Astyanax mexicanus: one gene and its partner. The protein of the gene in region 1 interacts with the protein of each later gene in a pairwise test. Links are inferred from orthologs where the notes say so. Each region holds a gene or a part of one and is shown on either strand. Other genes may lie near its edges.

Region 1 (3,928 bases):
CTTTGCGAATTTCTGTTTCCCTGCCAAAATTCTGTTTGCAGGCATGTGTCATGCAGAAGAATGAGCAGAACAGAATATCCTCAGATAACATATTTATATTTATTTGTGTACAAATAAGAGTTAAATCTACAGTTGCAGCAGATATAACAATCCCCAGTTTATACGTTTACATCCATACGGCAGTGTATCGTGCCTGCAAGTAAAAAAAAAAAAAAAAAGTCTGATTTCAGTTTTTTTTTTTTTTTTTTAACTCGGATTTGTTTTAAGGCTAAGGACAACTTGCATCAACATCCTGCAATTGTGCCAAAAATGTGTACCGCCTAAAAAAAAAATTCACACTGCAGATAAACTGGACCATGGCTCAGTAGATCCAGACAGAATTTTGCAGCCCCTATTGCATCTGCTTTTTTGGTTTGAACCAAACTAAAGAGCCCATTCCAAACAAGGCAAGTGTAAAAGCACCACTGCACTAGTGAAATACTCATAACTGTCCACAAAAGAGATGCTTACAGTAGTGAGCAATGGCGTTGCTCTCGAACAGACAGAAGCCATCATCACCCTGGTAAGCTGGAACCTAAAAAGGAGACAAGAACGAACATCAGTGAAGAAAATGAGAACTCATTTGCACAGAGGATGAGCCAATGAAATGTAAAGAGTATTTACCAACCTTGCCCAAGGGAAAATTGTTGAGGAAGGCAGGGGAGCGGTTCGTCTGCCCAAAGGTGAAGGCAGGGGGGGAACTCGCCACCTTCAGACGAGCCCCGCTGTACTGGGCTGCAATTTGAGCCTTGTAGGCCCTCCAGTTCTCTGCGTATGTGTAGAGAGTCTATGGAGAGATAAAAAAATAAATAAAAAAAAAAGGATTTTAGTTTAGTAAAATTAGTGTCTGTTTCTTAAAAAAAAAAACACTTGATATAAATCCTGCTTGCAATCCTCATCTGCGATGCAATAATAATGCTAATCTATCTAAAAGAGCGGTTACAGAAAAATAACTATTCTACTCCATCAAGGCCTCAATCGTGCAAATCATGATGCAGCATTTTCCAGTAAGGTCAATACAATATACAGCTCTGGTAAAAAATAAGATACCACTTCAGTTTTTGGATCAGTGTTTGCTATTTATAGGAATATGTTTGAGTACATTGTTGCTTTATTCTATAAACTACGAACAACATTTCTTCCAAATTCAAAAAAATATATACTGTCATTTAGAGCACTTATTTGCAGAAAAAGAGAAATGTCTGAAATATCAAAAAAGATGCAGAGCTTTCAGACCTCAAATAATGCATAGAAAACAAGCTCATACACATACAGTTGTAAGAGTGAAATACAGTTGTAAGAGTGAAATAACACTGTTTTTTAATTCACATTTTTAATCTTGGCATGGTCTCCTCCACTAGTCTTGCACACTGCTTTTGGTTAAAAATTCAGTTTTGCTTGGTTTGATGGCTTGTGATCATCCATCTTCCTCTTGATTATATTCCAGAGCTTTTCAATTTGTTAAAATCAACGAAACGCATCATGTTTAAGTGGTCCCTTATTTATTACCAGAGCTGTATTAGAACTGTTAGTTGCTGAGAATTATCAGTTTCAGACATTTAGCTTATGCCAACAATGGCAAAGACTAGTCAATTTGTGCCACAAAAAGAACCACATAAATGAGAAATTAGTTTAATAATGAATAATGTAATACAATGAAACAGCACAGCTACACAGCATCCTGATAGCACATACATAACATGTTTATTCAGAATTGATTCAACCATGGTTTAAAACAATAATTTATAATTTGATCAACTATTTAAGGTGTGAAAATGCTAAATAAAGGGGACCTATAGCTTAGCTAGCTTAGTATATATGGGGGAGATGAGCTAGTGGATGATGACTGGGTGAACCCCCTGTTTTAACCAGCCTAACTTACCGGTACCTACATAACGCTAGTCAGCCTCCGAACAGCTGCCTCTACTGAAACACAGACACTTCACCTACAAATTATCAGCATAAACAGTTTTTATTAGACCTAAACGGCTCTGAAACGGTGTTATGCCGCTAAACGCAGCCGGCACGCGGCTCCGCTGCACCGGAACATAAAACGTGGCACAGCTGAGCGGCTCATTGCTGCTCCCACTTTCTCCCAGCTGCTCATTCAAAATACAGGCTGAAGCTGCGGGAGAAATAACGCTTTATAACGTAAATAAACAGCCTTGAGGCTCCAATACAGCCCAGAGAAGCTGACCGGTTACGAATCAACAGGCTAGCGCCGAGGATGGCTAAGATTCAAGCAGGATTGCAGGCAGAGACGCGGCGTGACGCTAAAAACAGCTTTCCTTCCATCTTACTCACCCCTGCCGCCATCTTTAGGACGAGAGAAAGAAGGAGCGGAGGCGCGCGCTGCTGTCGTATACCGGGGGCACGTCGCAGAAATACTGCGACACGCAGCTCGAGCGGAGGGGTGTGTTCAGGTACAGCCACTGCACCAGCCTTTAGCTAGCCTGTATTTATTCTTTATTTACTAATAAGAGAAATAATAGATGCATATATTAGATATATAACTCAAAATGTTTATTTAGCCTGTGTTCAGTCTTTATTTATTAATAAAAGAGAAACAGTAGGTGCATATACAGCTCCGGAAAAAAAATAAGAGACAACTTCAGTTTCTGAATCCGTTTCTCTGATTTTGCTATTTATAGGTTTATGTTTAAGTTAAATCAACATTTTTTGTTTTATTCTAAAAATTAAAGACAACATTTTCCCCAAATTCCAAATAAAATATTGTCATTTAGAGCCTATATTTGCAGAAAATGAGAAATGGCTTCAATAAAAAAGATGCAGAGCTTTCAGACCTTAAATAATGCAAAGAAAACAAGTTCATATTCATAAAGTTCATATTTATAGAGTTCAGAAATCTATATTTGTTGTAAATTTAATTACAGTTTTCAGGCATATTGGCATGTTCTCCTCCTCCAGTCTTACACACTGCTTTTGGATAACCTTATGCCACTCCTGGTGCAAAAATTCAAGCAGTTCAGTTTGGTTTGATGGCTTGTGGTGATTCATCTTCCTCTTAATTATATTCCACATGTTTTCAATTTGGTAAAATCAAAGAAAATCATAATTTCAAGTGGTCCCTTATTTTTTTCCCAGAGCTGTATTAGATATAAATGCAAAAAGATTATTTAGCCTTGGTTAAGTTTATTTATTAATAAAGAGGAAACAATCGGTGCATATATTAGATATATAAATACACGTTTATTTAGCTTGTGCTCAGTCTTACTAATAAAAAAGAAACAACAGGTACATATATAAGATATATTACTAACTATAAACTTTAGTGGACGTCAATGTAAAATCATTTATTTCAGGTCATTTTGGAGAATCTATTTAATAGTTAGACACACACTGTAAGGGACAATGTGTGTCAATTATGTTAGTAAACTAAAATTGCCAAAAAAGGAGTTGACGTTATGGTATCATCAATATAATGAAAGAACGGCATTAACAAAAAGCAATTATACTTCATTAATAAGGATGTGCAATAATCATATGATACGCGTTTACTTTTTCTGACATCATAGTATTGACTGTATGAAACAGTCATATTTTTTTTTTTTTACAAACAGTATTGTGTGTTGAATTACATGCTGAGAATTCCCACTTACAGCCAGTGAGTTAGCATGAGCACAGACTTTCAATGTCCCAAAAAGAACCAAATAAATAAGAATTAAGTTTAATAATGATGAAACTACATGTTTTACAATATTATACAGTATATGATTCAATCCCAATATATTTATGCACTGCTCCACATGACCCCCACCTCCTTCTGCCTTATCATAAAAAATGCCAATAGCTGATGGCTGCAAATCCCTTAAAACCACATAAATCAACTCAATACATAATTGTTCTCTTTCCCACATTTGCTTTAGCC
Region 2 (3,928 bases), on another chromosome or scaffold:
AGGTATGTTCAAATGTCGTCATACTGCACATCCTTGTTAGCTCCAGTGCTAAACCAAAGAAGCACAATGTGGACACCATATTCCCCCGGGCATACCAGTTATATTTGGAACAACCAGAAATAATTGCAGAATCATTGCGTGTTGCAGAGATATGACCAGCAAATTAGAGAAGCAGCCTTGTGACTGGAAGGTGACCTGTTTGAGTCCCTGAACTGATAGAACCTGACTGGAGTGCCCTTAAGCCTCCTGCTGCAGGCATGTGAACTCACTGTTCCCTAGAGTGTGTGCTCACTAGTATGTGCATGTGTGTGTTCACTGCTTTAAAGCTGAGGACAAATTGTGAAACCTTGTGTGCAGCACTAATGGAGAACTGGCAGTTCTAGTTATAATAATATTCTGAAGAATCTCATCTATTTCATCTATTTATTTATGGCTGGGCAATATGACTAAAAACTGATATGTCTAAATGTTTCAGGATTAACAAAGTATGGTGTTATCAGTTCAGTTACTCGTAACACCATTGATAAAACGTAGTATGTAACATGTCTTATTGATTTTTCTGACTGATTAAAACAAAAAAATATCACACAAGTGATTAACAAACTGTCTATTGCGCTTTAAAACACCAGGAAGTGAGGCACACCAGGTCACTGCTCTCTAGAATAGTCTGCTACTCTTTGCTACACATGACAAGTAGTTACATTTCTGGGGAGGTGCATGTCAGGCTGTGTGTAGTGTACGCAGTAACGCTTATAATATGCGTGAGCTATGGTGTACACTCGGTGCAGTAGGAGAAATTGGCCTTAAGCTTTTAATAATGGGTATTTAAATGTATATTTAAGAATCAGTGCTTGATTGGAAAAATTGAATTATATTTATTTCAGTGGTATCAATCACAGTGTCTCAGGTAGGGCTGCAATGATTAGTCGTCATAATAGACAATGTGAATCATAAACTTTTAGTGAAGACTAATTGTTTGTAAAAGCAATGCACTTTACAAATTGCTGGGGACAGAAATTTAATGACACAGCTCACAGGTTTTACAGAGACAGGATGACATTCACAGACTTGAGCAGGTAAGGTAAAATGTGCATTGGAACAGGAGCTGTGCTTTAGAAAGCAGTGATGAAGAAATGGCAGATGCAGTCATTAAATAATTGACTAAACAAAAAAATAAACAAATAAAAGTTACATAAAAATCAGATTAGTCTGATACCAAAATAATCATTAGCTGCAGACCTAGTCTCAATAGTCCATTATGCATGTCTGGCTCTCCATTTTTAGCTAGGCTACTCATTCATTCCTTTTTATTGTGTAATCATTAGCTATTTCCTTTTTTATCCTTTTGCTGTAATGCATTTTGCAATCCAGGGTGGATCAAAAGAGACATCAGTTTTGAGTCTTGATTTCTCAAGCTTTCTTTGTCTTGATTTTAGTCAGTTTTTTTCTGGCTTGTTTATTTGGGAGTTAGACTTCAATCTCTGTGAAGCTGCTTTGTGAGAATTGTGAGAATCAGAACAACTACATCAGTGGTTCACACTGTATTATTAACAGCATCAGTGCTGATTGTATTATTTGGTATGCTGCCTTAAAATGCCTTGTGAGCCACACCTGCTCTCTACCTGAGTAAACTTGTTTATTTTTAAAAGGAGCCATTGATCTGAAAATGGTCAGTCAATGTAAGGTAAAAATGCACACTGAGTGAAAACAGGAGGTAGAGAGTTGGTTAACATGGTGGAGCTGTGGTGCTGGTTAGTGTGGAATACGGTAGTGTACCTGGTTGTAGCTGAAGAACAACAGGGCTCCGTTGTACATCAGCTCTCGGGCCTCTGCATGCTTCGCCTGGGCCATGTACCTACAGACAGCAAAGGGGGGACATTTAAATAGCCATTTAGGAACACTGACAACTAATTAAACTAATATAACCTCTAAAAACGTCTCATAAACTTTTAACTACGTGGTGTGACTCGTTTTGTTAATAATAAACCATCCTACCTAAGCTAACTAGCTCTGTTAGCTGAAGTATTCTGACAGTGAATGGAATCAAATGGGCTGAACTGACACTGCCAGAGCTGTGACTAGCTATCTTAGCCAGATAGGCTAACAGCTGTGCTTCACTGAAGCCCATTTCTGTTCATATTTGAGGCTTTTATGGCTCATTAAAGGCAAAACAGTGCAGCGTGTTGGTAAATCACCAAACTGAGCCGAAGAGTAATTATTTAAACCCCAAACTCTTCAGTTTTAAGTGCGTATCGTTTCGTTAGCAACCATGCTAGCTACAGCTAACAGCCTGCCAGCGTTTTTTTTTGCGAGATTGACGTCTCAACGGGCCAATCAGACACAAGAATCAGTCCCAGGGGTGGGGCAAAGTACAGCCGTTAACCAATAGGAGAAAAGATACGGGTACCGCTTCGCTGACAGCGAGAAAGATCTGGAAATGCGGGCGCCGGGCCGCAGCGATGCAGCGCTTAACTCCAACACCCACCTGAAGAACAAGGTGCGGTACATCTGGTGGGCTTCATAATAGTCTCCCCGCTCTACGCTGGCCCGGAGCTTGCCCTCCACCCGCTGCACTCCGCCGCGATTTCGGCCCTTCGCGCTGTCCTGCTCCGACATCATCCTCCCCGCAAAACGCGCGACCGCTACACCAGCACTGACCCCGCCGGCTCGCCGTACACAGCGGACCTTGATAAACAAAGAAACGCGAACAACCCCTACACAGCTTTCCACTGTCTAATAAATACTAAATAAATGATTATAATTTCAGAAATTAAAATCCGAATTTAAATAAAATTAAATAAAATTTTTATCATTCAAATTTCAGTTTTTAGTAATTACGTTCACATTGTGCTCTGTGAAATCACCTCCCACCACCAGATGGCAGCATGCGCCGCCGCTTCAAGGCCAGTGACTTACACACATATCAAAATTACAGATAATAAAATTAAAAAGCACATTATTAAAGTGTCTTTTGCATTCAAAAAATATATATAAACAAGTCCATATTAAAATTACAGAGCCTTAAACTAATAAAACATATTGTTACAGTTCATTTTGCATTCAAAATGTATACTAAGTAATAAATACATTTTCTTAAAGTGCTTTTTCATTCACAATATCTAAAAATTAAAACCAAAAATGATAAAGTCTACAATATAAAATTGCACAGTCTAAAATGAAAAAAAAAAATCACATTCCTAAAGTGCCTTTATATGCGAAATATATAATAAAGTAAACAACATTGTAAGGAGCGTAAATAAAAAAATAAACATTTTTAAAGTGCCTTTTGCTTTCAAAATATGTCAACAAAACAGTGTTTAATATGATACATATTGTATTCATGTATGTGTGTATGATGTGTATTATATCTGTACATTCTCTGGTCTTCAGTTATTAATTTCAGACCACCAGCATGTAGGTACTGCCTAATGTGGCCCTTTTGAGTGACAGCTTTTGAGTGATATTGAAATTTTGAAAATCTGTGGCCACAAATGTGATTTGTCTAAGTGCAGAAGTAATTAACTGTCACTTTTCAGCATGATAATGCCCACCCACACACAGCAAGGGTAAATATATAACAAACACTACACTTTAGTTACAGGAAACATTTTAAACATAAAAAACATAAACATAAACATCCTCTGGTCATTACACTTGATTATACTGTGAGTTACTAAATGGCATTTCGGGACAATGCTCACCCACACACAGCAAGGCTTTACTAGGAATGTGAAGGTGAAGAGTCTCCATTCAGTTTTTCCTAATAATCATATAATTTCGTTCTAATACTTTCTGTACAAAAAAGACAATATTATTTAAAATTCTGTTGTTTTGACTCTGATAAAAATCTGTAAGAATGAAGATCAAAGACAAATTAATGTTTTGTAATTATATTAGGATTTAAATTGCAGACATATGAAATTCAAAA

Evidence for each region.
Region 2: the proteins of eef1g (region 1) and get4 interact in a two-hybrid assay, tested with the Homo sapiens proteins (2 studies listed by BioGRID and IntAct, with this or other methods). The link is inferred for Astyanax mexicanus from reciprocal best matches to the Homo sapiens genes EEF1G and GET4.

What each region holds. Positions count from the first base shown.
Region 1 is NC_064417.1:39,784,560-39,788,487, reverse strand, and holds the start of eef1g (elongation factor 1-gamma), read right to left. Parts: upstream 2,442-3,928; 5' UTR 2,356-2,441; coding exon 2,344-2,355; intron 827-2,343; coding exon 668-826; intron 575-667; coding exon 511-574; intron 1-510. UniProt on the Homo sapiens protein: Probably plays a role in anchoring the complex to other cellular components.
Region 2 is NC_064422.1:21,153,228-21,157,155, reverse strand, and holds the start of get4 (Golgi to ER traffic protein 4 homolog), read right to left. Parts: upstream 2,671-3,928; 5' UTR 2,620-2,670; coding exon 2,486-2,619; intron 2,256-2,485; exon of another isoform or gene 1,996-2,255; intron 1,856-1,995; coding exon 1,777-1,855; intron 1-1,776. UniProt on the Homo sapiens protein: As part of a cytosolic protein quality control complex, the BAG6/BAT3 complex, maintains misfolded and hydrophobic patches-containing proteins in a soluble state and participates in their proper delivery to the endoplasmic reticulum or alternatively can promote their sorting to the proteasome where they undergo degradation.